7 linked regions of the Ovis aries genome follow. The protein of the gene in region 4 interacts with the protein of the main gene of each other region in a pairwise test. Links are inferred from orthologs where the notes say so. Each region holds a gene or a part of one and is shown on either strand. Other genes may lie near its edges. The genes, in order: FAM133A, GEM, BRME1, TRIM23, PITX1, TRIM29 and MORN4.

The links.
Region 1: the proteins of TRIM23 (region 4) and FAM133A interact in binary tests that used the Homo sapiens proteins (3 or more experiments, as listed by UniProt). The two-hybrid records come from large-scale screens. The link is inferred for Ovis aries from reciprocal best matches to the Homo sapiens genes TRIM23 and FAM133A.
Region 2: the proteins of TRIM23 (region 4) and GEM interact in binary tests that used the Homo sapiens proteins (3 or more experiments, as listed by UniProt). The two-hybrid records come from large-scale screens. The link is inferred for Ovis aries from reciprocal best matches to the Homo sapiens genes TRIM23 and GEM.
Region 3: the proteins of TRIM23 (region 4) and BRME1 interact in binary tests that used the Homo sapiens proteins (3 or more experiments, as listed by UniProt). The two-hybrid records come from large-scale screens. The link is inferred for Ovis aries from reciprocal best matches to the Homo sapiens genes TRIM23 and BRME1.
Region 5: the proteins of TRIM23 (region 4) and PITX1 interact in binary tests that used the Homo sapiens proteins (3 or more experiments, as listed by UniProt). The link is inferred for Ovis aries from reciprocal best matches to the Homo sapiens genes TRIM23 and PITX1.
Region 6: the proteins of TRIM23 (region 4) and TRIM29 interact in binary tests that used the Homo sapiens proteins (3 or more experiments, as listed by UniProt). The link is inferred for Ovis aries from reciprocal best matches to the Homo sapiens genes TRIM23 and TRIM29.
Region 7: the proteins of TRIM23 (region 4) and MORN4 interact in binary tests that used the Homo sapiens proteins (3 or more experiments, as listed by UniProt). The two-hybrid records come from large-scale screens. The link is inferred for Ovis aries from reciprocal best matches to the Homo sapiens genes TRIM23 and MORN4.

What each region holds. Positions count from the first base shown.
Region 1 is NC_056080.1:140,887,994-140,892,424, forward strand, and holds the start of FAM133A (protein FAM133A), read right to left. Parts: upstream 3,018-4,431; 5' UTR 2,608-3,017; exon of another isoform or gene 2,457-2,607; intron 2,302-2,456; exon of another isoform or gene 2,080-2,301; intron 1,814-2,079; 5' UTR 1,744-1,813; intron 1-1,743.
Region 2 is NC_056062.1:82,965,858-82,970,313, reverse strand, and holds the start of GEM (GTP-binding protein GEM), read right to left. Parts: upstream 2,849-4,456; 5' UTR 1,632-2,848; coding exon 1,596-1,631; intron 1,342-1,595; coding exon 1,002-1,341; intron 1-1,001. UniProt on the Homo sapiens protein: Could be a regulatory protein, possibly participating in receptor-mediated signal transduction at the plasma membrane. Has guanine nucleotide-binding activity but undetectable intrinsic GTPase activity.
Region 3 is NC_056058.1:10,105,231-10,109,400, forward strand, and holds the start of BRME1 (break repair meiotic recombinase recruitment factor 1), read left to right. Parts: upstream 1-1,296; 5' UTR 1,297-1,591; exon of another isoform or gene 1,592-1,646; intron 1,647-2,174; 5' UTR 2,175-2,195; coding exon 2,196-2,226; intron 2,227-4,170. Other genes in the region: CC2D1A (coiled-coil and C2 domain-containing protein 1A), read right to left, coding at 872-931. UniProt on the Homo sapiens protein: Meiotic recombination factor component of recombination bridges involved in meiotic double-strand break repair.
Region 4 is NC_056069.1:14,074,515-14,078,234, reverse strand, and holds part of TRIM23 (E3 ubiquitin-protein ligase TRIM23), read right to left. Parts: intron 1,610-3,720; coding exon 1,480-1,609; intron 973-1,479; coding exon 862-972; intron 1-861.
Region 5 is NC_056058.1:44,096,299-44,100,018, forward strand, and holds part of PITX1 (pituitary homeobox 1), read right to left. Parts: intron 442-3,720; 5' UTR 374-441; coding exon 205-373; intron 1-204. UniProt on the Homo sapiens protein: Sequence-specific transcription factor that binds gene promoters and activates their transcription. May play a role in the development of anterior structures, and in particular, the brain and facies and in specifying the identity or structure of hindlimb.
Region 6 is NC_056068.1:30,407,672-30,411,391, forward strand, and holds part of TRIM29 (tripartite motif-containing protein 29), read right to left. Parts: intron 3,290-3,720; coding exon 3,206-3,289; intron 1,121-3,205; coding exon 1,022-1,120; intron 1-1,021.
Region 7 is NC_056075.1:18,623,526-18,626,925, reverse strand, and holds the end of MORN4 (MORN repeat-containing protein 4), read left to right. Parts: intron 1-472; exon of another isoform or gene 473-670; coding exon 671-785; exon of another isoform or gene 786-840; intron 841-1,191; coding exon 1,192-1,301; intron 1,302-1,527; coding exon 1,528-1,676; 3' UTR 1,677-2,821; downstream 2,822-3,400. UniProt on the Homo sapiens protein: Plays a role in promoting axonal degeneration following neuronal injury by toxic insult or trauma.

The sequences.
Region 1 (4,431 bases), on a different chromosome or scaffold from region 4:
GAGTATTACTCAGCCATTAAAAAGAACACATCTGAATCAGTTCTAACGAGGTGGATGAAACTGGAGCCTATTATACAGAGTGAAGTAAGCCAGAAAGAAAAACACCAATACAGTATACTAACGCATACATATGGAATTTAGAAAGATGGTAACAATAACCCTGTATGCAAGACAGCAAAAGACACAGATGTATAGAACAGTCTTTTGGATCTGTGCGAGAGGGAGAGAGTGGGATGATTTGGGAGAATGGCATTGAAACATGTATAATATCATATAAGAAATGAATTGCCAGTCTAGGTTCGATGCAGGATACAGGATGCTTGGGGTTGGTGTGCTGGGATGACCCAGAGAAATGGTATGGGGAGGGAGGTGGGAGGGGGGATTCAGGATTGGGAACACATGTACACCTGTGGTGGATTCATGTTGATGTATGGCAAAACCAATACAGTATTGTAAAGTAAAATAAAAAAATTTAAAAAATTAAAAAAGAACCAAAATACTAATTCTTGTTGGTACAAAACTTAACATGTATATTAAACCATTAAAGTACTATAAAATATAACTTCCTTCATTAACAAAATGTGTCCATCATTTTAAGGGAAAATAATAATTTATAGAACAATATTTACAGCATAGCTTCATTGATTTAAATCATTGTTTCTATAGTATATATTTTAATTAAAATTATAAAAATGAAAGGATATGCACCCAGTAAGTTTTAGTGAGACTTATATCATCTTCCTCTACCACATGTGCCTGGCACATGGCAGGCACAAAAATATAATAGTTGAATGACTAAATAAATGAACTGATGCATTGTTGGTATAATTGCAAATTGTGATAATTTTTTCTGGAGAGAAGTTTTGCACTATGTATCAAAGAGTAAAATGATCAGGCAGTTTATTTCAGGACTCTCATTTCTAGGAATTCATCATATGGCTAATTTTTACAAGTGCATAGAGTAGGTATCTGAGATAACTATTTTCTAACAGGAAAAATACGTCTACTAGTAGAGAGGTAGTATAAGTAGCTGCTGTACAATAGGAATCTGGTTAAACTACGGGAAATATTTTCATGGAATATGCATCTATTTAAAAATGAGATGTTCAACCATTTACTGTGAAAATATAGCCACAATTAATTGATAAATAAGCAGATTACAAAACACAATATGATGTCACATAGATAAAACAGCATGTGTAAACAGGCATATGTATATATTTACAAAGAAAATTCTGGAAGAAAATGCATCAAAATTCTAACAGTGGTTATCATTTGATTGTGTTTGTATTACCATTGAAATTTTCTATGCTGTATTTTTCCTTACAATACTTACATACTTTGACAATCAGGAGTAAATAATAAAAGTAAATTCATTTATAAAATAGAAATAAAAGTGTTTCCTAACTTAAAAAATACAACTAAATAAGCACAAATTCTGTAATAAAAAGGAAAGATAAGAGGTAATCTAACTTTAATACTTTTCCTCATTTGAAATGAATAATTCATCATATTTTATATTTTAATTTGTTACTTGTAGTCTATGAGCAAGTTCAGAAAAGTGAATGTGATTAATTAGGTTATTTTCTACATTAGTATTCCAAATCACCTCTGTGGATTTTTCTGCTTCCATGGAACTAACAAGATATCTTCCAAATAAAAGGCTACATCTTGTGAATTTTTATTTAAATATAGATAGGTAATTCTTGTCATTCATAAAAATGGGCTAAATATGTTCCTTACCTTTCAATGAAAAGTAAACACTGGTCTTTTTGGTTGTACCAAGGGAGTCGTTCTGTTGCAGAAAAGAATCCTGTAAATAAAAATAACAGATACCTGTTTTTAAACTTCATTTTGCAAAAGTGTATTCATCTATTACTGAACCTGTAAATCATACTTCAGTATGGCTAGAATTGTACAATGTTAGAAGGAAACTGGTGGCAGATGCCATTGTAAAGTACACCCTGACAGAGGATGCAGTTTCATCAACACATTCCCCCTCCCATCCTGCTATTCGTGAAATTAAAAGCTGCTGCCACAAAAGTATAGAATAAACCATCTGCTTTTAAATACTACTACCTAACATTTGAATGCCCGTTTATCCTTTTTATCTACAAGATTGTTAAAAGCATGGAGAAAGACTACGTGGCAAATCACCAGCAAGGACAGGGTCTATGACATGTCAGATTAAAAAGAGAAATACAGTAAAAAAAAATGGTGTAACTGACTCACGGCAACATGGGTTCGCAAACCTTGTAGATGGATATAAAACAGGCTTGCCAAACATCACAAACAGCACTTATTAAAGCTGCTACGTGGAATTCAATATGCCTGCTTTCTAGCCCCTCCCCCCTTCGCCAATAAACGACTCCCCCTTTTTACCCAGTGTAAAAATACATGCTCATAAGACATTCAGATAAAAGAAAGAGAATTTAAAAAGAAATCCATAATCATACTATCCAATGATGCCATTTGGAGCATTTTCTTCCAATTTTTTAAGAACAGCTTTTTGTCACGAGGCCCCTGACAAACCAAATGGGAATTAAGGATGAGTGGATGGGAGCGTACTCCTCTTCCCTTGTTAGGAACCATGACTAGTATTTTTACCTCATATCTAAGCTTTTTTTTTTTTTTTTGAAATTATAAAACTATAAAGACAGAATTTTAAGGGGAAAAAAGTCTTCAGTGGTGTGTGCCTCAGCAACCAAGGAGCGACTGGAAAGGAAGGCGGAGCCTAGAGGCGGCGGTGTGCTTGCGCACTTATTGGGCTGATGCATTGTCAATCAAGGTCAATCAAGTTTGTCTAGCAAATGAGGTGCGAGCTAAAGGCACACTGGGAACTAAAGGAACTGGAGGTCTGACTGCGAGGGGAGGGGGCTCAAGATGTAAGCAGTGAAGAGATCTCGGGCTCTCGCAGTGCGATATTCAGCTGCGTCACACCTCAGTCCGCCGCAGCTGCAGGTCAGAGAGGCCTTGCCTCCACCACTGTCGCCCAGGCCTCCGCTGCCGCCGCCACCTCCGGTGCAGTCACCTCGGCCCAGCCGCGCCCCGCCCAGCGCTCCTGCTGCCTTCACCGCTGCCACTTCCTCAGCCCCGGCTTCCGCCGCCACCACCCAAGCATCCGTGAGTCATTTTCTACCCATCTCTGGGCACGCGGTAGTGACCACCTAAGAGGTTTGCAGACTTGCAGAATGGCAGAAGCGGATCCTAACAGGGTCTCGGAACCTGCCGCCCAGGGGGTGGATGGAGAGATGGTAGCTATCTCGTCTAGCGATTCTGGGGACGAATCTGACAGCAGCAGCTGTAGCAGCAGCAGTAGTTGCAGTAGCAGCAGTGGCCGCAGCCCATTCTATAGACGTATAAGTGTACCTGGGCCCTCCAGAAGTGTGAGGCGGGCTCCGTCAGGTAGAAGTTTCGTGGATCAGCTGCCTCGGGCGGTTAGAAATCGTGTGCAGGCTCTCAGAAATATTCAAGACGAATGTGACAAGGTAGACGCCCTGTTCTTAAAGGCAGTTCATGATCTCGAACGAAAATATGCCGAACTCAATAGGGCTCTGTACAACCGGCGATTCCAAATCATCAATGCAGAATATGAGCCCACGGAAGAAAAATGTGAATGGAATTCGGAGGATGAGGTGTTCAGCAGCGATGAAGAGATGCAGGAAGACTCTAGTGAGATGCCTGCTTTAGAGAGTGAGGAAGAAGAGGATGACCTGGAAGCAAAACCTGAGGTCAAGGCTGAAGAAAATGTAACACCAAAAGAAAATTCCGAAGCAAAGACTGAAGAAAAAGCACAGTCCAAAGATGCTCTGGAGGCCAGGCCTGAAGTAAAAGAAGATCCAAAATAAGCCCTCCAGGCAAAGGCAGAAGATAAAGGGCAGGCTAAAGCAGCAGAGGCTAAGGCAAGGACTCCAGGAAAAGAGGCTCCAAAAAGAGTTCCTGAGGTCACGCCTAAAGATAGAGCTCTTAAAAGAGCTCGAAAAGGAAAGCCTAAAAGATAAGATCCTAAAGGCATTCCTGACTATTGGCTGACTGTGTTCAAGAATGTTGACAAGCTGGGGCCCATGATTCAGAAGTATGATGAGCCCATTCTGAACTTCTGTCTGATGTTAGCCTGAAGTTTTAAAAACCCAGCAGGCCTGTAAGTTACACATTTGAATTTTGCTTTCTACCCAATCCATACTTCAAGAATGAGGTGCTGACCAAGAGATATATAATAAAGTCAAAGCCAGATCACAATGATCCCTTCTTCTCTTGGGACTGGGAAATCCAAGATTGCAAAGGCTGTAAGATTGGAGAAGAGGAAAGGATGTTACAATGACAACCACCCAGAGTTGCACAGCAGCTACTGGACAAGTTGAAACCCAGCCAAGAGTGGTTCCTGATGCATCATTCTTCAATATCTTTAGCCCTCCTGAGATTCCTACTATC
Region 2 (4,456 bases), on a different chromosome or scaffold from region 4:
GCTGCCTCATGAAGCAATGAACTCCCAGACAAAGGAAGAATAGATGTTTAGTAGAAATGGGCTGACAGCAGTGAGGAAGGAGTAGGATTTCTGTGCATCAAGCAGAGGGCAGAACTGTGTCATCACTAAAGCATCTTCCTACTCCTGAAATCTGTGATTCAGCAGTGAGTTGCAACTGAGCGTTCAGACAGACCATGTCACTGGGACAAGCACACTTACTTCATTTCCACAACTGCAAACAGGGACATACAGTGACCCTGGCATTGTCTAAGATCCTGTGGCTGAAAGACACTGAATTTAAACCATCGACTACAGGAGCCTCATTTTACTTCCCAGAATACAGTGCTATGCTTTACTTGAGGAATATGTGATTTTTTTGAGACTGTATCATCTCAGATCAGTTTTGGAAACCAAGGCCTAAATAATAAATACCTTAAATGAGATTATCCATGGAAAATTGAAAAACCGTAAGTATACTTACAAACGTTAAGTATCATCATTGCTAACTTTCAATATCTTTTTTAAATATTGTGCTATTGAAAATAGAGATTTTAAACAATTTTATACCCTCTAAAGCCTCTAATACTGCAATGAACAAACTAATGAATTCATCTTAACAGTTTTCTAATTGGCTTGGTTTTAAGTATCACCATGGAAAAAGGCTGTCTCTACACTGAGTGCTTGAAAGGTCCAGGTCAGAACTGGCAAAAGCCAGAGGTGGGATCCTGACCCTCCGGCTCCACCCTCCGTAAACCGTCTCCCTGGTCCCTTTAGAGCTGGAATGTAAGAAATTCCTTCTCTGGCCCAGCTTCTATCTATAAGCATTTTCACTTTCTTGTCCCAGAGGCCTATGCCAGCACGTCTGTGGGGACTCGGCTCCCCAGGCAGAGCCAAGAAGGCATAATCGCACTTCCCAACTCTGCAGACAAATGACCCACCCACTCACTCTTCCTGCTGGACCACTGCTGTCCCGTAAAGCCCTCCGGAGCCGGGCCACCTACCTCCAAGCACTTCGCAGTCGCTGTCCATGCTGTCATGGACACCCGCAAAGATGTTGGCCAGAGTGGACTTGCCCACCCCCTGCTCCCCGATGAGAACCACCCGGTAGTAGGTGTTCCCGGACTCGGAGGAGATGACTGAGTCCGTGGAGTCGGAGGACCAGCTCCGGCGGCAGGGGTCCTCGGGGGCGGTGGGGGGACGGCTGCGCTGGCCGTACTGCGGGGGCTCCTTCTGGACCATGAGATGCCTGCCATCGGCAGGGATGCTCCAGCGCTGCTGCTGCGGCTGCACGCCCGCCGTGCCCTGGCGCATGGTGACATGGTTCAGAGTCATCGTCAGGTCCTGGAAGGCAAAGCAGCCAAGATGGTAGCATCAGGAAGCATGAGTTCAGGGAGCTCGAACACAGTCATCAGTGATATTTTAGTATGTGAGGTTACCAAGTAACCCTCACACAAGGAACACCAGTGAAGCAGTCCCCAAACCCAACAGGCTTTCAACTGAACACACACACACACACACACACACACACACACACACACACACACACACACAGCAGCTCCTCAGGGAGACTGTCATTTGCAAAGAGGAAAAGGTACCGTTAATATCGCCCACTGCCCTGGGGCTTCCTCCATCCTCAAGGAAGCCTGGGGATTCCCCACTCAGAGCGGGCACAGAGGCAGCCAGAAGGCACGAAGAGCCTCTAGAGAAGGCTTGAAAAGCAACAAGTTAATGCAGCTGGGGACCAGCTGGCCAGGTTAGCCGCTGATGTCTAAACATGGCACTTAAGTAGCAGCAGCACCCAGCAGGCTTTTATGCCTCAGTGGGGAACACGTGACAATGACATCATCCCCCCCGGCTGGATTGGACCAGGGCTGATTGGAACTTCCATGTTTAGTAAAGTTGCCCTGATGCCTGAATATGCTCTTATTTGAGGGGGAGAAGAATTTCTGCAATAGGTATATGCCTCACTTCTGCCCCCTGCCCACAGATATCACATTTAACCCATCCCTCTGCCTTGTCCTTCTGGCAGGGAGAGGACCTGCTCACGTTCAGAGCTGTCAAACTTGCAGAGACAGTGCTTCACTCTTTTTAAACTCTGTCCACTCCAAGAGTTCCTTTCCATCAGCTCGGATTTCCACCTTCCTGAAGCCAATCAGGTCCAAGACTCCCTCCAGAAAGACATTCAACAACGTGGCTACAGCTTGGCCTTTCTCAAGACTGCCTCCCCTTGCCCGGTGGTCTGGACTCCCAGACTCTCAGACAGAAAGCAGAAGCAATCTCATTTTCAGCAGCAAGATGCACCGGTGAGCGAGAGACCCTCCCCTTCCCGCACGCACTCCCCAGAACCCCAACACGTCGATGACCCTAGCCGCGACCCTCACCTCGATGACCCTGATGACCGATCGGTTTGTAGGTTTGTTTTTTTTTAATCTTACAAGCAGCGCCTCCGGTAGGCCGACTCTTCAAACAACCAGTGCCTGAAGTATCCCTGACGGCTGTCCTCCGACCACAGTCTGGAGGAGGAGATGACCCTCCAACTGAACTGCACGAAAGCAACCCGCCACCGCCGAATGGCATCCTTCGCCCCTTAAACTCTGCAACACCCCTCACCCCCCCGACCCCCGATCGAAAGACCACCGCGCCGGACAGCAGGTCCGGAAGGTTCTTTTCCCCACTTGGAAAGTTCTCCGCGGGCTGCGGACGCCCACCCCTTCCCCCAGTCCTGCCCCCCGCGCCTCTCCGGAGGACCCCGCTCCCCGCCGCGGGCTGCTCGCCTTACCGGGGGTGCGGCTGAGAGCGGACGCGCGCCGCGATGCGGGCGGCCGATCGCGGGGTGACTGCGCCGGGTGCGCCCGCGCCCGCGCCCCGCGGTTTATACGCGCGCGGCCCGGGCTCTGCCGTGACGTCAGCGCCCCCGCCCGGGGTTTGGGGGCCGGGCGGCTCTGCAGCAAGCCCCGAGGGGCAGCCCCTTCGCCAAATCGGTGACTCGCCGTCATGTGACCCCCGCCTCTCTCCCCTTTTAAAAAAAAATAACGACAGTTGAATCCCGGCTTCCTTTATTCTGGTTTGTTCTTTTGACCAGGCGGACGCTGGAAGGGGGCAGACAAAACACGAAGTGCCCCTTAATTGCACTTTCCAGCAAAACAGTTCGCGAGCTGTCCGGATGAAGGATGGAGGAAGAGGCAGGTTGGGATTGGAAACCCAGTTTCGCCAAAAGAAAAAACAAAAACAAAACAAAACAGGGGGCTACAGCCCCATGGAAGTGTTCGGGGCTTGTGTCAGCCGCATCTTCTGCAAGGAAAACGGCCTCTGCCCGCTCCTGTCGCCTTCCCGGTGAATGAGGGAAGGAGGGGATACCCACACTGCTTGTCTCCCTTCTCTGACCGGGACCCAGAGAAAAGGGGCCAGAGGAAGGTGGGGCAAGGGGGCAAGACCTTGAAAAGGTCTTGAAAAAATAGCTTAAGTAGGGATCCAAGCAGACTGTGCTCAATGTGGCTAGCCCTCCTGCCCTGGACCAGGACGCTGAGGCTCCTGGATCAGGGAATTTAATCAGCATCCCGACTAGTAGCATCTCCTGTACCAGGCTCCCTGGCATGGCCGGTCCTGGCCGTGGGGCCAGGGCCTCTGGCCATGCGAGGAGCCTTAGCCTGGGTTCCAGTCCCAAGAATGATGCCTGTGAAAAAAGGGCACAAGATAACAGAAACAGTCACTTCTATCATTTACTGAGTGTCTCTGAGTTCCTATATTTAGTAGGTACTGTTAGACCTCTGCAGTATCTCAAACTTTACTACAATTCTGCAAGGTGAAGATACTGCTGCTCCCATTATATGGAGGAGGAAAATGACCCCCAAAGTCAGAGAGCTTGCCCAAGGTCACGCAGCTCATGTATGTGGCAGCATCAGGACTTGAAGCTCCGCTTGCCTGGCTCTTTGCACTGTGCCCCCAGCTGGAGGGATTCAGTGACCTCTTTGGCAGGCCACGGGCATTTCCCAGACACTGTGTTTGGAGGTGACACTGGCCTTTCCAACACACCCATCTGCTTTTCCAGCCAGCTGCATCTCTGGATGGGCTGGTGGCCCCGGAAAACAGCCAGAGGCACCAGCATCTATTCAAGTGGCTGGACCCTGCTGTGAACAGAGTCTGTTCTCTGTTACTCTGCAGCATTTTCATGCTCTGGGGATTATCCAAGTGACCAGCTGCTGAGACATGCCAGGCCCCACGCTGGCAAAGATGGAATGGCAACCCAGAGCTCTCTTGGTCCCAGGTGCCCTGGGCCCAACCTCCTCATTTTATATGTGAGGAAGCTGATACCCAGGGGGATGACTACCACTCAGGCAGTAACTGGCAGTGCTGCAACCAGAGCCTGAGGGTCACAATTTCCTGGATGGGTCCCTTCATTTCCATCGAGTTTTCCTTCTGGGCTCAGCCAGGAAGAGGATGGCTACAGACGTGGTAA
Region 3 (4,170 bases), on a different chromosome or scaffold from region 4:
TGATAATATTAGGCTGAAGTACACAAATTACCTCCTTTTCTTTGGGTCAAAAATGGCCAAGTATCAGCAATCATACAACGGCTCCATCTAATAGTAACGATGATGACACCATTTATTGAGCGCTATGTTCTAGCACTCTCTGTAAACTATCACAGATAGTCGTGAATTTTCACAGCTATCCTGTGACATACACTCTTAAGGCCTCCATTGTACAGATGAGAAGACTGAGGCTTAGAGGTGTGAAGCCAAGTATCCAATACGGAGAAGCCCGGAGGGAACTTCAGGTCAGCCAGACTAATACCTGGGCACTAAGTTTTGGCCTGAGCTCCTTCCATCAAAGCTGAGAAAAATCAAACTCTCCCAGTGCCTAGGAAAAAGGTAATAAGGGAGGGAGACGGTGCCCAACCACAATTCTGTGGGCTCACAGCAAACAGACTGGATTTGCCCTTAGGTCTGGCCAAGCAGTTGATCCCTATGACCTTGGACAGTTATCTTCACCTCTCTGGGCCTCAGTGTCCTCATCTGTACAATGGGGATAAAAAAGTATGACCTGGCCAAGCTGATGCCAGGGTTCCACAGTGCTCAGTCCAGGAAAGCCATAACTGTCTTTCTTATCCCAGGTTCAAGGCCTTCTCCTCCCCGACTGGAGCTGCTACTGCAACAGGTGGCCCTGAGCCCTGGGCGGGGCGCCAGGAGCTGGGGAGCCCGGGCCAACAGGCCTTACTGTGGGGGTCAAACCTAACCTAGGGGGCGGGGACGTGGGCTCACCTGGGAGTGGAGAGCCGGTTCCCCTGGGGGGTGGGGCCCTCCCTTGAACGTGTGACAAGGGTGGGATGGGATACCTCGGCGGGGCCATGGGATACAGACTCACCTGGCGGGCGGTGGCGGCGCCTCGGCCCGGGGGTCCCGGGGGTCCCTTCCTCTTGTGCATCTTCCAGGTTGGCTACTCGGACCACTGGACCCCTGGCCTGGTCTTGCCCTGCCTCCTCCCCCGGGGCCTATGGCACCGCACACGCCCTTCCTGAGTCCCACGCCCCTTGTCGGCGCCTCGAGACCGCCGACCCCACGCCCTCGGCCCCCAGGTGGCTGCCCCACTTCCGCCTCGGCCCTCGGGCGCCGCGGCACCGGAGCTCAGCCACCGGACTTGCCGGGCCCCACGACACAGAAACTACAATTCCCGGCAGGCAGTGCGCGAATGCGCAGGCGCGTTGCCGGCGATGGGCGGTGCCGCAGGTTGCGCGGGAAAGAGGCGGAGCGTGCGCAAGTGGAGAAGGGAGGTTCCGGCATAGCGCGTGCGCGGCAGGGCCTTGTAGTGCGCGGGGCGGAGCGATTGCAGGTGTGAGGGCTGGTGGCGGCCCATGGGTTCACGGTGTGGCCGGTTCACCTGCGAGTTCTGGTCTTTCCTGGTTTAGGCAGTTCTCGCTTTCGGCCTCCAGGGTAGGGTTAGGATGGGCCTGGTCACCAGAAGCAAGGTCCGCAGCACTCGGGCCTCAGACCTCGAGCTGCCCGGCCTCCGTGAGGGACAACTTTGCCTTTGTTTTTTAAAAAAAAACGTTACGGAAATAACCGAATTATCCCCCAGCAGATCCAGGTAGACCTTCCTAGTTCCTGGTAACGACAGAGGGACCTCAACAACTCTGACCCAGGTCAGATTGGGCTTGTCTGGCTCCTAGGCTGGAAGGAATGGACCTGTGGTGGCGACTCTGGCCTCCCCCAAGGCCCCAGGCATCCTCCAAAGGGCCTCCCCATCCCTTGAAAGGTCCCAGGTCTCCCCTCTAAAGCCCTCAGATGACCCTGCAGGGCCCCATGTGTCACCTCGAAAATCCTGGGGTGTCCCTGGAAGGGTCCCAAGTACCCTAGCCTGGAGGAAGGGAGCTTCACATAGGCTGCCCCATCTTAGAGACTAGAGGGGCCATACCCCGGCCCAGGTGCTCTCAGATCCTGGGCAGAAAATAGGCAGTTCCCTCTCTGCAGCATGGAGGAGTTTAAATTCACATGCCGAGTAGCCCAAGGTAGCTATGATTCCCATCCTCTGCCCTACTGGGGCTCTGTTGACCCCTGGGGCAGCCAGATAGGTCTAGGTCTGGTAGGGGTGGCCTCAGCCAAGGCCACTGGGTCTTGTAACTGAGAGACAGGAACTGCTTGTAATGATAAGATTTGCTCCTTGTTTTCAGATTTCTCTAGGGAGAGAGAAAATGAGTAAGAGGAAGAAGCTTCGGACTTCAGGTATTTGGACGATCAAGTTGACACATCTTTATTGCTGCTTCTGCTTTTAGGAGGAATGTGGGCTTATTGCAGAAATGCTAAGGTGACCACACCAAGCTCCTTAAAATAACAACAATGATTTAATACACACGATGACTTAGTCCAAGTATAAGTTATGGAGAAGTGCTTATAGTAAAAAGTGAAAGCTTTGTGAAGCTTCCTCCAGCCTGTAGTGGGATCCCACAGCCTAGGGGAGGCCTGCAGGCTTCAGGGAGGGGTGCAGCTTCTACGCAGGTCCACTCTCAGAGATGACCCGTGAATAGAGCTTGATGTGCTGGTATGTGGCTTAAGCAAAAGACCTAGGTTCATCTCCCTGTGTGATGGCAGATAACTTACTCTGTCTCACTTTCCTCCTGCAAGTAGGAGATAATAAAGAGCACATACCATTTCCTTTATTTTCTTTTAAAAATGTTAAAAAATTTATCTTTAATTGGAGGATAATTGCTTTACAATATTGTGTTAGTTTCTGCCACATATCAACATGAGTCAGCCACAAGTATGTCTCCGCCCTCTTGAACCTCCCTCCCACCTCCCCACCCTGTCCTTTAGAACAGTGATTCTCAACCTGTTGCAGGGAGCAGTTTGATTCCAGAGGACATTTGGCAATATTTAGAGACGTTTTTTTAAAAGTATTTATTCATTTATTTGGCTGTGCCAAGTCCTAAGTGTGGCATGTGGAATCTTTCAGTTGTGGCCCGTGATATCTAGTTCTCTGACCAGAGATTGAACCTCCTGCATTGGGAGCAGGAGTCTTAACCACTGGACCACCAGAGAAGTCCCTAGAGACACTGTGGGGTTTTACAACTGGTGTGTTTGTTTGGGTGGGTGGGAGGTACTGGCATTTCATGGGTCAAGAGCAGAGATGGCTGCTCAAAATCATAGCACGCAGAGGACAGCCCCCACAGCCCAGAATGACCTGGCCCCAAATGTCAGTAGTGCCAAAGCTGAGAACTTTGCCCTAGAGCTCACGTGTGAATTAGCATTTGTGAAGCACTGAGAGTAGACGCACGGCAGGACGCTGATATATGCTGCTGTTATGATTGTCCTTTCAGATTATTATTCTTTTTCATTTTGAAACAATTTTGAGCTTACAGAAAAGTTGTAAAAATACTTCAGAGTTCAGTCTACCCTTTCCTCGCCTTCCGCTAATGGTAAAGCCACCCACAACCATAGGATGATGGTCAGCCATGTTGTTGTTTAGTCACTCAGTTTTGTCCGACTCTTTTGCGACCCCGTGGACTGTAGCCCCGCAGGTTCCTCTGTCCCTGGGATTTCTCAGGCAAGAATGCTGGAGTGGGTTGCCGTTTCCTCCTCCAGGGGATCCTCCTGATCCAGGGATCAAACTCGTGTCTTGTGCATTGGCACTTGGATTCTTTACCACTTGAGCCACTAGGGAAGCCTGGATCAACCGCATCATGTAGCATAAAAAACAAGAAATAAATCTCAGTACCGTACTTCTTCCAGACTTTTTCTTTATATACACAAATACAGTGTTTTTATTGGATAAATATAATTATCAACATACTGATATGCAACCTCTGATTTTCAACTTCATGGGTTTTCAAGATCATCGTTACCTCTCAATATACATAGAGAATTGCCTCGTTCAGAAGGAAAACATCCAGTATTATGTGGTATAGCTCCATTCCCCTGTCATTGGCTAAGGAATTTAAATTTCTTAAAAATTTAAGAATGACCCCTTCACCTAGTGACTAATGAACTTCAAGAGTAGGATGTAGGGCAGGAAAGAAATCAACAGATCAAAGACGTTTGGTGTAAGGGCTTCCCTGGTGGCTCAGTGGTAAAGAATCCGCCTGTCAGTGCAAGAGACGGGGGTTCGAGCCCTGGTCTGGGAAGATCCCACATGCCGTGGAGCAAGTAAGCCCCTGCACCAGAACTATTGAA
Region 4 (3,720 bases):
TGGAAATAAAGGAGTGGAGCTATTGAGAGGTTATAATGGGATAAATGTTGAGTTGAATTGAATTGAATGGAGCAACAGAACTATACACCACAGATTCTACCCTATACCACAGTATTGCCAATGATTATACTCATATGACGGTGAAGGCAATGGCAACCCACTCCAGTACTCTTGCCTGGAAAACCCCATGGGCAGAGGAGCCTGGTTGGCTGCAGTCCATGGGGTTGCTACAAGTCGGACACAGCTGAGCGACTTCACTTTCACTTTTCACTTTCATGCCCTGGAGAAGGCAATGGCAACCCACTCCAGTACTCTTGCCTGGAAAACCCCATGGGCAGAGGAGCCTGGTAGGCTGCAGTCCATGGGGTCGCTACAAGTCAGACATGACTGAGCGACTTCACTTTCACTTTTCACTTTCCTGCATTGGAGAAGGAAATGGCAACCCACTCCAGTGTTCTTGCCTGGAGAATCCCAGGGATGGAGGAGGCTGGTGGGCTGCCGTCTATGGGGTCACACAGAGTCGGACATGACTGAAGCGACTTAGCAGCAGCAGCATACTCATATGAACACTAATAATACTCTGTGTTAAGAATACCAAGAGGAAAGTACCCTTAATTGCTTACATGTATAAGATAAATATTATGTTAAGTTATAGTTTTTCATGAAATATACCAGAGTACATATCTCAGTCTATCTAGCTTAATTTTCTTGATAGTGTTGGGCGTGCTACCAATATGTAATAGTATGGTCATATATTTAATCAACTCTAAAATATCAGCTTTATTAGCTAAATCAATGCACTGATAACTGGACTGACATTCTAAAAATCTGAAAAATTAAGATGTAATTTTACACTCTTACCTTGAGTATTAAGGTAATAATGTTTCCACAATGGTCTTAATTTGTGTTTTCCACCTACATCCCAAATGGTGAACTTTAGATTTTTATATTCTACAGTTTCCACATTAAAACCTGTTTTAAAAAAAAAAACCAACTTACTTTAATACTGACTTATGAGTGACACACCAAAAACCGGCAACCCCAATTGTAACTGTGACTTACAAATCATCTTCATACAGCACTATCTAACCAACTCCACTTGTAATAAACATACATGGAGGAAATGTATACCTTTAACCAGGGTTAGCCCTCTAATCTAATAGAGTCCTTAAGACCTTGACAGCTGAGTACCAGCTCTGCAACACTACCACCTCCTCATCCCTAATTTTCAGCCAGAGTCATCAATATTTTATTCCTTCCAACTGTCCCACCAATATTTTGTTCTTTCTTACTATCCCCCCTCAATCCACATTTCAATCCCACAGTCACTGAACCTTGCATTTTTCCTCTGAAATGCTGATGTCTTACAGACAATCTCCACATCAAGTGGGCATAAAGTAAGGCCCTGAGAACTCATCTGTAAGTTAGGGCTTTTTCCTATAAAATATTCATTAAGGTAAAAGCAATACGCATACTTACCAATTGTTGGAATAGGCTGCATGAACTCATCCTGTTTTAATTTAAACAAAATAGTAGTTTTTCCAGCACCATCTAATCCTAATGTAACAACTCGAATTTCCATTTTGGGTCCAATGTGAACTCTATTGTCCTATAATTTTTAAAAAAATAAATCTTTTTATTTTGTTATGGAGTTCAAAGTACTAGCACTTACACTTTTATTTATAAAATACCTTTGTTAATTATTTTGTCTCCTACTCATTCCTCAATCCATTAAAATCAGTTCTATTCCCATATTAAAATACCCTGATTCTGATATTTACAAAGAGGAAATGTTTCCTCACTGCTTTGTTAAATCTTGGCTTAGTAAAACTTTCTACATACTATGTAAGCTAAAAAATGCACACACACACACACACACCTATTTTTCCCAGATTTTCTAGCTCAACTGAATCTTCTTTAAATAAGATTTTTCATGCTGTGCTAAATATATTAATAAAAAATAAAAAGTGATGTTTACTTCCTATAAATATTCACTGTTAACAATTTCACATGTATCCCTCCAGACATCTTCCTGTGCATCATACACTGGTTGACATACACAAAGCAGACACACTTAAAAAAAAAAAAAAATACACACTGCAACTAATTTTTTACACTCAATAGTACCTTACGGAATCCTTTCATTTCAAACATATAAAACTACGTTTTTTCTTTCAATTGCTTTATTATATTCCATTTACCACTTGACCAATCCCCACTGACAAATATTTGATCTCTCTGATTTTTTTATATTATAAGTAATACTGCAATGAACATACTTGTTCAATTTCTAGCTGCATGACTACTCTGCCTCACCTCACCCATGTATAAAATGGGCATTAAAAATAGACTAAAGTCCTAGAGGGGCGGGATGGGGTAGCAATGTGGAAAGGAAGTTCAAGAGGGAGGGGACACATGCATACCTATGAGTGATTCATGTTGATATATGGAAGAAACCAACACAATACTGCAAAGCAATTAGCCTTCAACTAATTTTTTTAAATAGACCAAACTTACATAGGATTTTTGTAAGAATTAATTTTTTAAAAGATGGGTAATTTGGACTCATGGAGTTGGAAGAGAAAAAAACAATGAAGAAAAGTGAAAAGACCCTAAGAGACACATCGGACTGGGAGTCCCAGAAGGAGAATACAGAAATAAAGGGGCAAAGAGATCTTACTTGAAGATATAATGGCTGAAAACTTCCTAATCTGAGGAAAGAAATGGATATAAAAATCCTACCTCAATGCATTCAAACTATGATAAATGCAAAGAGACCCACATTAAGATATATTATAACCCAACTGTCAAAATTCAAAAACAGATAATCTTGAAAGCAACAAGAAAAAATGACTAATCACAGAAAGGGAGCTTCCATAAGACTATCAACAAATTTCTCAGCAAAAACACACTGCAGACCAGAAGGAATGGGATGATACAGTCAAAGTGCTGAAAGAAAAAGGCTTCAACCAGGAATTCTATATATAGCAAAACTGTCCTTCAAAAATTATGGGAAAAAAGATTTTCCTAGAAAAACAAAGCTGATGAAGTCAGGATCACTAGACCTGTTCAATAAGAGAAGCTAAAGGAGTCCTTCAAACTGAAATGAAAGGCTGTCAGCAATACGAAGTCATATGAAAATCCAAAATGGTAACAATAACTACAGGAACAAATAGTAACCTGCATTATTATAATTTGGGTGAATAAATTTAATTCTTCATTGAAATGAAATAACAAACACATTAAAAGAAACTATAAGCCTGTGCTAATAAGTGTACAGTATATAAAGATATAATTTGTGACATCAATAATATAAAGTACAGGGGGTGGAGCTCTGGAAAAATAGAATTTTTCTATGCAATTGAAGTTAAATTGTTATCAATTTAAAACAGAATGTTACAACTAAGATATTTTATGTAATTGTAAAGGTAACCTCAAACACACACACAAAAATCCATAGAATATAAACAAAAGGAAATGAGAAGGAACTCAAACCATGACATTAAAAAAAAAATCAATAAAACACAAAAGGCAATGAAAGAGGAAAGGTAAAACAAAAAAAAGTATCAAGTTAGGCAGAAAATAAACAAAATGACAACAGTAAGGGTTTACCTAACAATAATTAAATATAAATAGACTTAACTCTCCACTCAAAAGACATAGTGTGACCTAGTGTGAAAAACCAAGATCTAAAAATATGCTGTTTACAAAAGAGACTCA
Region 5 (3,720 bases), on a different chromosome or scaffold from region 4:
GCGACGGGACCGCGTGGAAGCGCCTTGGGGAAGCACTAAAATTTCCGTTTCATAAAGAGCGTCCATGTCCACGTTCATCGTCAGATGGAGAATGGGAAAAGGCAAGGTCCTGACGCGCCTGGAGCGTAGAGCGAGCCCGCCTGCGGGGCGCGGCCCTGCTCGCCCGGGTGGTTCCGCGCGCGCCTCGCGGGGAGCCGCTCTTACCTGGTAGCTCCGTGTCGGACGACTCGCTGGCGGAGTTTTCGAGAGGCTCGCGGGGGTCGGCCGTGCGGGCTAGGTGGAAGGCGGGCCCCATGTCGTGCGGCTGCGGCGGTGGCGGCCGCAGTCCCTCTGGCAGCCGCTCCAGGCTCATGCCCCCCTTGAAGGCGTCCATGGAGGCGGGGACCGAGGCGGGCGCTCCGGGGGCCGGGGCTGGGCGCGCCCGGCCGCCCCGGCGGCGACCTGCGAGGACAAGAGCGCAGCCCCTAAGCGGCTGCCCCCCAGGGCTGCCCGCGCCCGCAACGACGCCGCGCTCGCCCCATGGGCCGCCCGGGGCTGCGGGGCCAGGCGGGCGGCAGCGGCAGCGGTTTCTCGCGACCCGGGGGCCCGGCTTCGCGCTCCGCGCTGCGCTCCTGCCGCTCGGGCCTCAGCCGCCCGCCCGGCCCCGGCTCCGGCTCCCGATCCGGGGCCGGTTTCTAAGGCTCCGGACGGCGCCGGCAGAGTCTGTCTTAAAGCGACAGCGCGCACCGCCAGGTTCCAGCAGTCCCTGCGCCAGGGGTGGTGGGTGGGGTGGGCCCGCGGGGGAGGGGGCTGGGAGGGAGGGAGCGAGCGAGAGAGCGAGGGAGCGCGGGCGGAATCCAGCCCCGAGCCGCCCGCGCCGCCGCGCCCTCTCTGCCGCCCTCCCTCCCTCTCTGCCTGCCTCGCCCGCGCCCTCCCCCTCCGCAGCCACCTTCCCGCCGCCTCCCCCCTCCCGCGGCCTCGCCGCGCCTCACCCTCCTTCCCCGGTGGCACACTGAGTTCTCCCTCGGCCGCACAAAAGAAACGCATCTGGCTTGCAAGCCCCGCGCGGCTCGTGCCCACCTCAAGCCCCAAATGACTTGTTTCGCTCAGAAATCAACTCCTGTCTGGGCCGCCTCGAAGTTCCGAGCCTCTGGCGAGAACAGCCCGGGATGAGTGAACGTTCACCGAGCAGGATCCAACCGACCGGGAGCCTGCGAGTCAGCGCCAGGGCGGGGGCAGAGCCCGGGGCTCGTTCCGGCAGCTCCCAGCGGCGTCCTCGTCGAGGGGCCGCGGCCCCTCCTTCCCCGGGATCTTCTCCCGGGACCCGAGCCAGGCTGAGTGACAGCAGCCTGCGCTCTAATGGGCCCCCGGATGCTGCCTCCTAATTAGCTTGGACCCTCTCCCCCAAGGCTGCTTCTCAGGCCTACCCCCTCTGCACCGCAGTCAATTTTCCGGGATTGGGATAGAACCGATGGCTTCTAATCAGACGAAACGTTTCTGTTGGCTCCAGGCCGCTGTCGAGTGCAGCAGGAGACCCCAAGAGCCCTGCCAGGCCCCCACAGCCTCTTCTCTCCCCTTGTTTTGCACCTTCAACGGTCTGGCCAAATCCGCCAGGTCCCGGCCTTGGCCACCACAGGGTGGGCCTCTCTCTGCCCCCTTCCCAGCAGGTTCGCAGGGCCTCACTTTGGCTTCTCAAGTGTGGCAGGCACAGGCCCGACAGGCCAGGTGACTGCAGTTTCCAAACAGGCCAGGAAGCCTAGGACAGTCTTGGAGCTTCTCTTAGCTACAACGGTAGCTAAGCTACAGCACCAGTGGGCACTCCATGAGCACAAACACATTCCCCTTCCCATCCCTTAGAATGAGTCCCTCCTTGAATCCTCCTACTTCACTGAAGTTTGTTGAAGGATTTTGCTTAACAATTGTTAACTGGTCCTGAGATGTCAGAGTCTTGAGCAAATAGGTGACCGCTGGGATGGTAGGGTGCAGCCCTGACCTGTTCCTCTAGCCACAGGTGGACCCCAGGGTGCCCTTTGCCCCTCTTCTGTGTGCTCCACCAGACAGAAGCAGCACTGGGCAGGATGGTGGTGGGGGTGGGGTGTGAGGCCCGGAGAAGTACTGTGGTCATCTCCAGGCCCAGTGCCTCACGCTTGGGCCCAGGGCATCCTAATGTTCTCCTGGGATCTCTGCCTGGGGCTGACTGTGCAGGCTGTCAGGCTCTGGGACCCTTAGGAGTCCCTTTCCTCACCTGGCTCCCTATCACCCTGGCAGTCACCTGCCTCCACCCCAGGCTGAGCTCTTTGGTGAGGATTGTGGGGGCAGGGGCGTGGGCAGGGTAGAACCAGGCCTGCCTCTCACTCCCTTGGCCCCAGTCCAAGGCCCCCAGCTCTGGGTCCTGGGGAGCAAGCACAGTTCTAGGGCAAGCCCACTCTCCCTGGGTGCCTGTGACCACAGGGGGCAAACTCGGAGGCTGGGGCCACAGCAGAATGCATCCAGGAGTTTGGGCTGGGGGAGTGGCTCTAACTTCTCCGAAGGGAATTTCCTGTAGGCTGAGACCCCCAGGGAGAAAGCATACTTGGTGTGTAGGGGATGGGGAGGGGTACCTGGAGACAGGGAACAGTGGTTGCTGAGCATTTGGCCTCAGCCCCATCTTTGACCACAGTTTCCAGTTGAATCTCCTAAAGGAGCAATACCTCCTTTCAAGGATGTATTTAGGTGTTATGCCATGCCAGTGAGTGCCCCTCCGCATGCCACCTTCCTGGTAGCTGCCTTACTTCGAAGGGACAGTGAGCCACCCAGCGTGCCAGGATCACAGAAGCATGCAAATACTTATATGTACTGCATACCTGTACAGGTGTGCTGTGCACACATACACACACATACTCACTGCGCCCACACAGGGGAGTGCTGAATACAGTCACATACATGTACACACAACCAGGCCTCTGAGCTCCAGAACACTGATGCTGTCTGGCGCGAAATCTGGCTGAGAGGGGTGTGTTCTAAGCCCACCAAGTGTCAGGCCAAGGTGGGAAGCACAGTGTTCCTCTGGGAGGGGTCGTGAAATGAATGGTCTGCCTTTGGGCGTCCAGAGGCTGGCCATCACAACTCACATTCCCCAGAGGGTCTAAAGAGTCAGGCGTTCCGCGGATGGGGACTGTTTTGCGACTCTGCAGCTCTAGCTACTCAGTCTGAGGGACTTGTGTCCCTCACTGTTGATGCATTTAATGCAGTTATTGAGCACCTGCTGTGTGCCCCTCCAGATCCAAGCCTCTGGCAGTGCTCCAAGTAGTCACAATCCCTATATTTGGAAATCTTGATGCCTGCTGTGTGGACTGAAAGGTCCTCAGACTATTGCGGGTGAAGCTCCATATCCCGGGGCCCTGAGCCCTAGGGAGGGGCTGAGACTAGTGGGGGTTGCCCAGGGGTGTTTTCTCCACTAGAGTCAGCGCTGAAGGAGTAGGGGTGAGGAACTGATCCAGAGGAGGCCCTGGCCTGATCTCGGGTGCTGGCTGGAGAAGGGACCTGGGGTGCTCTCTCCCCTGGCCGCTATCCTGGGCAGAATAGGGGCTTCTTGCACACACTCACAGATGCAACACACACACACATGAGACAGGAGGCAGCTCTCTTTCAGGAATAAGAGCAGGGACTCAATGTTCCCTTGGCTCTTGCTGTGTGACCTTGGGCAAGGCTTGACTTGCACTGTGCTGCAGCTCCCAAGTCTGACATGGGACACAGCAATCC
Region 6 (3,720 bases), on a different chromosome or scaffold from region 4:
TTGGTGTGTTTGAGGAGGGGCTCTCCTAGAGCAAGGCCCCCCCACCTGGAGAGACTGTGGACCGCCAGGGAGACCCTGAAGAGCAGGAAAGCTCTGAATCACACCTAAGGGGGGCCATCTTTCCTGCCTGGTGGCCTTTGATCCAAGCTTGACCAGAGAGCAGGGAAGGACCTGCTGTAAGCCAGATAGGCCAGAGCAAGTCCCTGACCTGGGGATCCTGCAGTCTGGGACCCTGTAGTCATAACCCCTTGTGGGTAGATCCCAGAATCCCAGCCCTGGGTAGAGTCCAGGACCCAGCCCAGAAGGGGCAGCTGGATAAGCAACTGTCTGAGGCTGCTGCCTGAGGGTCCACCTACACCTTTCCCACCCGAGCCCACCAGCCTGCTTATCCAGGCTCCTAGGCCAGATGTCTGCCAGGTGGAAGGCAGATAGACCTGCTCCCTCCACCCCCAGAGCTGCCCCATGGACCTTTAAGAAGAGATGTGAGGGCTGTGGGTCCACTGGGAGCTGGGGTCTGACTCAGGCCAGCCCCTTGAAATGACCTCAACTCCAGGGGACAGGAGGCATCGACCACTCAGTCTTGTCAAAGAGCTCTGGGGGCAGAACCAGACTCGGGAGGGAGGCCTTCGAGATCACGTAGTCTGCCCGGCCCAGAGGGGACTTGGCAGGACTCTAGCTCTGTGGGAGGCTGACAGGTGCTTGGGCCACAGGGTTCTAGAGTCCCCTGAGGCTGGGAGTCACCAGGTGACAAAGTTAAATAAACTTTCTGCAGTAGGAAGACTCGAAATTAAGCCTGATGGAAGCCCCCGGGGACGTCGGGGCACAGGATACAGAGAGTATGGTGTGTCTCCCTCACCCCCGACACTGAGGCCTGTATCACAGTGCATCCCGAGGGGCCCGCGTGCGGTGGCCCAGCCCTCCTGACAGCAGAGACCTGATGGAGGCAGGGCATGGTGAGCAGAGACCAAGGCAGGGCTTACAGAGCGCCCAGAAGACAAGGGCCGGATGAGGGTGAGCTCACCTTTCAGGGAGAAGGAGGAGCTGCCTGCTTGCACCGCAGGCATGTCGTCAGAGCTCTGAATGGTGGAGGAGTATTCCCAGACCCGGGAGGTGTAGTTACCTGGTGGGGAAAGGAAGAAGAGTCAGCCCAGGGCGGCCTGGCTCGTGGGGTGGGGGGTTGGGCAGTGAGCAGAGGCCATTTCTGCAAATCCCTCCAGGCAGAAGGCAGCTGAGTCCTCATCACACCTCTGACCAATCCTTCCTGCCATTAAGCTGTCCTTCTAAGGCATCGTCCTGTCCTTGCTCTCAGATGCTCCCACCCTTCTCCACCACCTCCACTTCCTGGCTTCCCCCTCCCCTCTCCCGCCCTCACTCAACACCCCAGCCAGGCTGTGCCCTGAGCTCCTGACGCACACCAGGCTCGCTCTAGCTCCAGGCTTTTGGCACAGCCCAGGTCCTCTGCCTAGGAGAGTCCACCTGCTCCCCGACACTTAGTAAATTCACGCATTGGGTCTTCTGGCATCAGCTTCCACATCATCTCCCCCAAGTCTGCGTGTGTCTCAGCCGCACGCCCCGTATCACACTGTAATTACACGTTGAATGGTCCATCTCCCCAGCTGGCTCCGTGGGGGCAGGTGGTGTGCCCGTCTGACCCAGCCTTCCACCCAGGGCCCGGCACTTAGCCTGGCTCCTGGAAGGCGCTCACGGTCTGGCTGATGGATGAATGAATGAGTGGAGGAACAAATAAACACAAACACAAGCTAAAAGCTGGAGACGGAGGCAGCTGCTACAAGCCCTGAAATTCTGTGTGGAGGGTGCAGCAGGCTGTGGTGCTCCATTTGCAGATGGATATAGAGAGGCCTAGGGACAGTGGGGCAGGGACACCACGGGGGCATTCGAGAGCCCCCCGCCTCCCGCATGGAGAGCTGCCCACTCCAAACCCTCCCTTTCAGCAGCTCTGAGCACAGCGGCTCTGCTCCGTTGAGCTCACGCCACAGAGGAGCCCCCCAGCCCTGGAGATCTCCTGCTGCTGCCTGGGGGGGAGGGGGTCAGAGGGCAGATGGGGGTCAGGCGCTGGCCGCCTGCCCCATCATGAACCCTCGCCCATAGGGATCTCTGACAGTCTGCATTAAGGCTGTCACTAAGCATGTCCACCCAAGGTTCCAAGGGGCCGTTTTCTTTGCCCTCTCATCCATCCATTCATCTCCCCCTCTTCCTCCCATTAAACAAATGTTTGCTGAGCCCATCCTTCTGGACCCTGAAGTGTTAGTGGGGAATAGGACAGACCCAGCATCTGCCTTCACGGAGCTCACAGCACAACGAACCCAATCCTGGACATAGAGGCCTGGGCACTGCCCTGTCCACGGTGCCCCAACCCCCAGATCTCTGGATCTACCAACACCCCCACTTCCTTCCTTGCTTCTCCAGACCGCTGGTGCTGTGTCCCCAGGGACTCTGGTGGAGCTGGCCCAAGTCCCCTCCCCATCTGCACATGGCACACACCCAGGAGCCCCCCAAATCTGGGTCCATCAAAGGCTGGGCCCTGCCCTCGGCAGAGCAGTGCCCTCCGCACTTTGGGCAGAGGAGGGGACCCTGCGCTTGGCAACTCTCCCTGGGGAAGCACGCCTCCACCCTCATTTCACCCCTTCCGGGTCTTAAGGGCAAGTCGCCCACTTACCTCCCTGGCAAACATGCCTCCTGGCTCTCCAGGGATGGCCTGGCCCGTAGCACACCTGACTTTTCCTTGCCTGCTTCCCTAGTCTGTTTTAACCAGTGTCCGACTTTCTGACACAGGAGTGCACAAATCAGGAAAGGTCCCCTGTGACCCCTGGCCTGCCACCTGCTGAGGGAAGTCCTCACACACCTCACCCTGGGGTCCGCTTTCCCCAGCTCATCCTTCAGGGAGAAGACCTTACAGACCCAGGGATTCCACTGATGCAGAGGTGCCTGGCTGGCTTTCCTCAGCCGAACGATGTCACACACAGGCGTGCACACAAGCACATGTGCGAACCACACAGACACACATACACCTGAACACCCCCTGAGCTTGGTAGGATCCCTCCTCACCCATCTCCAGGCCAACCCCACTCCAGCTCCCCAAGTCACCTCGTATGGGGAGTCCCGCTGCCCATTGCCCAGCCCCCGCCTGCTGCCTGCATGGCCCCACACAGAGGCCCTGCCACCCTCCCGCTGAGCCGCCTCCCACCTTTGGTGCCGTACAGGTTGCTGAAGTTCTTCTCCTTGGAGAGGCGGCTGGGGGAGGCCGGCTGGTACGAGGTCCTGGCCCCACCTGTGAAGGGGATGAGGAGGGGGCTGTCATCCCAGAAAGGGGGGCCTGGCTCAGCCGGGGGCCTGTGGCTCTGACTTGAGGGGTGTCAAGCAGGAATCCTTGCCCCCCCAAAACAGCTTCACCTGCCTGGGTCAGGACCGGGGTTCAACCACCAAGATAGCGCCCTTGGGTCTAGGATAGGGTGACCACGTAATTTACCATTCATATCGGAGCAGAATTGAGAGGGATGATGCTAGTCATCAGGCTGAGGGTACCAGTGTAAACTTGGAGAGTCTTGAATGGACTAAGATGTATAGGCATCCTAATTAGAGACTTTGAGGGTCACCAGAGCACCCCTGCGCCAGGCCCTGCATGCCGAGACCCCAGAGGCTGGGTGAGAGGGTGGGGTGCCCGTGAGGAAGCTGGGCCAGGACCACCGTGGGGGCGGAGGT
Region 7 (3,400 bases), on a different chromosome or scaffold from region 4:
ATGTAAAAAGAGAAAAACTACAAGAGGTGGTTTGCAGAGAGAGTGCTATAAGGTAAGCACCAGATACAGGATGTAAGTAGCACAGAGTCAAGGGCTTCCCAGGTGGTGCTCATGATAAAGAACCTGCCTGCCAGTGCAGGAGACATGAGAGACGTGTGGGTTCAATCCTCTGGAGGAGGGCATGGCAACCCACTCCAGTGTTCTTGCCTGGAGAATCCCATGGACAGAGGAGCCTGGCGGGCTATGGTCCATAGGGTCACAAAGAGTTGGACGCGACTGAGGTGACTTAGCCCGCATGCATGCAGAGGATAATAGGTGCAAAATGTAGCTCATGCAGAGTTCGGGGGCAGAAAAGCAATTTCAGTTACAGACGACAGATTAGGAAAAGTTAAAGTAAAAACTGGGAGTGTTCAGGCCTGTTCACTGTTCTCTTTATCTTCTTTGATCTCAGGAAAGGGAAAGAAAAACTCACTGCTCTTTTTTCCTTTTCACTGCAACGATCCTTGGAGCCAAGTTATTACTCTGGGCAATGGTTCTCTGCCCTGCTAATGTCACTGTTTCTCTTCTTTCCTTTGTGGGTGGGGTGATGCAAGGCAAAGGACGTTAGACAGTGACAGAGGACCCTGAAGCTGCCCCATCCCAACCTGACACCCGTCTTCTCTTTGCTCAGGCCGCAGACATGGTTTTGGTCAACTGATGTTTGCAGATGGTGGCACCTACCTGGGCCATTTTGAGAATGGGCTCTTTAATGGCTTCGGGGTACTGACCTTCTCAGATGGCTCAAGGTGGGTACCTGGTCATTCTTTTCCCAACCTTAGACGAGGGAAGGGAAGCTCTGATCTAAAAATGATAGGGAGAAACACCTGGTCAAATCTGAGCTTGTCCCTGACTCTCTGAAAACAGGCAAGGAGTAGCATTCGTTCTTTTACTGGTTACTTTATAAATACTTCTAAACTTTGAGATGGCAAGGAGGTCAGTGACCTCTCAGCCCACCACTGTGCTCTTTGGTTGTTTCCTCGGGATGAGAGCCTCAGATCATTTGGGCTCTCTGACTCCTCTCTGCTGGGTAAGATGGGGTGAGCGGGGTGGGGGGAGCTCTGGAAGAGTGGAATCAGCTTTGCTCCTTAGCGTTTGGTGTTGGTAGCTGCCTGACTCAGTTATCCTGAAGGCTGACATCTCGCGTTTCCCCAGGTATGAGGGGGAGTTTGCCCAGGGCAAGTTCAACGGCGTCGGAGTCTTCATTCGACATGACAACATGACCTTTGAGGGAGAATTTAAAAACGGCAGAGTGGATGGTTTGGGTAAGTTGCCAACCAGCAGGACAGGTGACTAAGGCGAGTGTAAATGGGTGGCAGGACACCTTTGCAGCTTTAATCCTTCTGTGGACACCCAGCAATACAGAGTGCTGTGTTCCTGGACTGAGCACCCAAGAGCTGCAAATTTTCTCTCCTTGGCTCCAACGTAGCAAGCTGGCCTCCGAGCCACAAATGCCACTGTCACACCCTTATTTTCTCTGTCCCCCCAAAGGCCTGCTGACTTTCCCTGATGGTTCTCATGGAATACCCCGCAATGAAGGTCTGTTCGAGAACAACAAGCTTTTGCGGCGTGAGAAGTGCTCGGCGGTGGTCCAGCGGGCCCAGAGCGCCTCCAAGTCAGCCCGGAGCCTCACTGCCTGACGGGGGCTGTGCCTGGCTGACAGCAACGCCCGCCACCCGCTCAGGGTGGACAGATGAACCCAACGTGAGAGGAGGCGAAAATGACCGTGGAGCAGAAGCCCCGGGAGGGGCCTGTCACCCGCCAGGCAGGGCTCTGGCCACTGCAGCAGCGGCCGCTCAGCGTGTCCTTCCCCTCTCTTACTCATTGGTACTTCTGTCCCTAACACCGGAGACCACCCGGGGCAGACTGGCTGCTGCCTTTCTCCTTCATTTTCTGCCAAGTGATGCAGAATCTCTTCCTTCTGCCTCTATTTGGTGCAGGTGATCCCAGCCCCAGATGAGGGCCAAGTGCTCAGTGCTCTGTGAGAAATGAGGAAAACAATAGGGGTGGGCTTGACAGTATAGCGGTCCCATGAAAGTCAAGGCCAGAGCTTTTCTGTATGTTGCCCTGCATTCCTGGTTGACATCACGGCCCCAGGCCTCCCGCTTTGTCTGACCAGCCTGGTCCTGTGTCTGCTTGTTGCCCCTGTGAAGCGTTCAGTGAAGTGCTGTCTTCTTCTCCCTTGACCTTACAAGCTGTCTTCCTACCCTAAGTTCCAGCAGGTAATCTGTGCCCCTCTCTCCTTCCTTAGACATGGGAAAGGATCCTTTTAGTCAGAAAGAAATCGATGTAAACAGTCATCTTATAGCTTGTAAATATTACTTACTCCAAGTCAAGGGCAGACATCTCTGGGTCACATCAGGCCTTGTCATGGAGTGAACTGAATCCTCCAGGATAGCTTGGGCTGACACAGCTCCTCCTCAGTGGACCAGTAGGTCAGACCCACCTCAACCCCTTGGGGTTCAGGTAGAATCTGACCCATCTTGGGAAGGCAGTGAACTCAAAGAGCATTTGGTCACTGTAACTCTTCCACCATGAGCCTTGGCCATCAGGCCTAGGGATCAGATCTGGATTGATTGGACTCCTGCACAATTCATCACAGAGGCCTCCAGTTACCCTGGGATCCCCAAATGCCCCACCCCATCCCCAGCCCCTTATCCTCACACTGAATGTCTCCTCAACAGCAGATTGTGGTGGAAGTGATAGTTGTGTGCCTCTATTTATTCTCTGCGTTATAGTGTGGAAACAAATGCTTATGAGGAATAAACAAGTCGCCAGAACTACCTATACTTGGTTTTCCTGACTCTTGCTCTACATCTGTATGGATATTGGCCCATTTGCTATTTCTAAAAGTTAGTCATAGATGAGGCTTGGAAACTGAGGGTTGCACACTTTACTATGAAATATCATCTAACTCTGCAAGGTAGGTACATGCAGAATTTTTTAAAAAGAACGCAAACAAACAACAGCAGACAGGCTGAGGTTGCCCTAACTAGTGAGTGGCAGAGCTGGGTAGGATTTGTATCTGGGACTTTTTGGCTCCAAAGCACTTTCCCCACAGTACTCATCTTGAACGTCAGGGTGCCCAAGTCCTGAGACAGGTTATCATCCCACCTGCTGGTTATCTCCGGCAGCTCTTTGCACAATCACCTGCCACGCTAACCCTTTCACATGCACAATCTTGTAAGTCCTGAGAGGAAGGTACCATTATTATCCTGCTATCACCGATGAGGTTCAGGGTATTTACATAGTTTTCCAGGATCTTGCTGACACTAAGGCATCTCCAGATCCAAGAACTTAAGCCCAGTCAGTTTAAGCTCAAAGGCTGAGCTCTTCACCAGTACACCAGCCTGCCTCCCTAGCC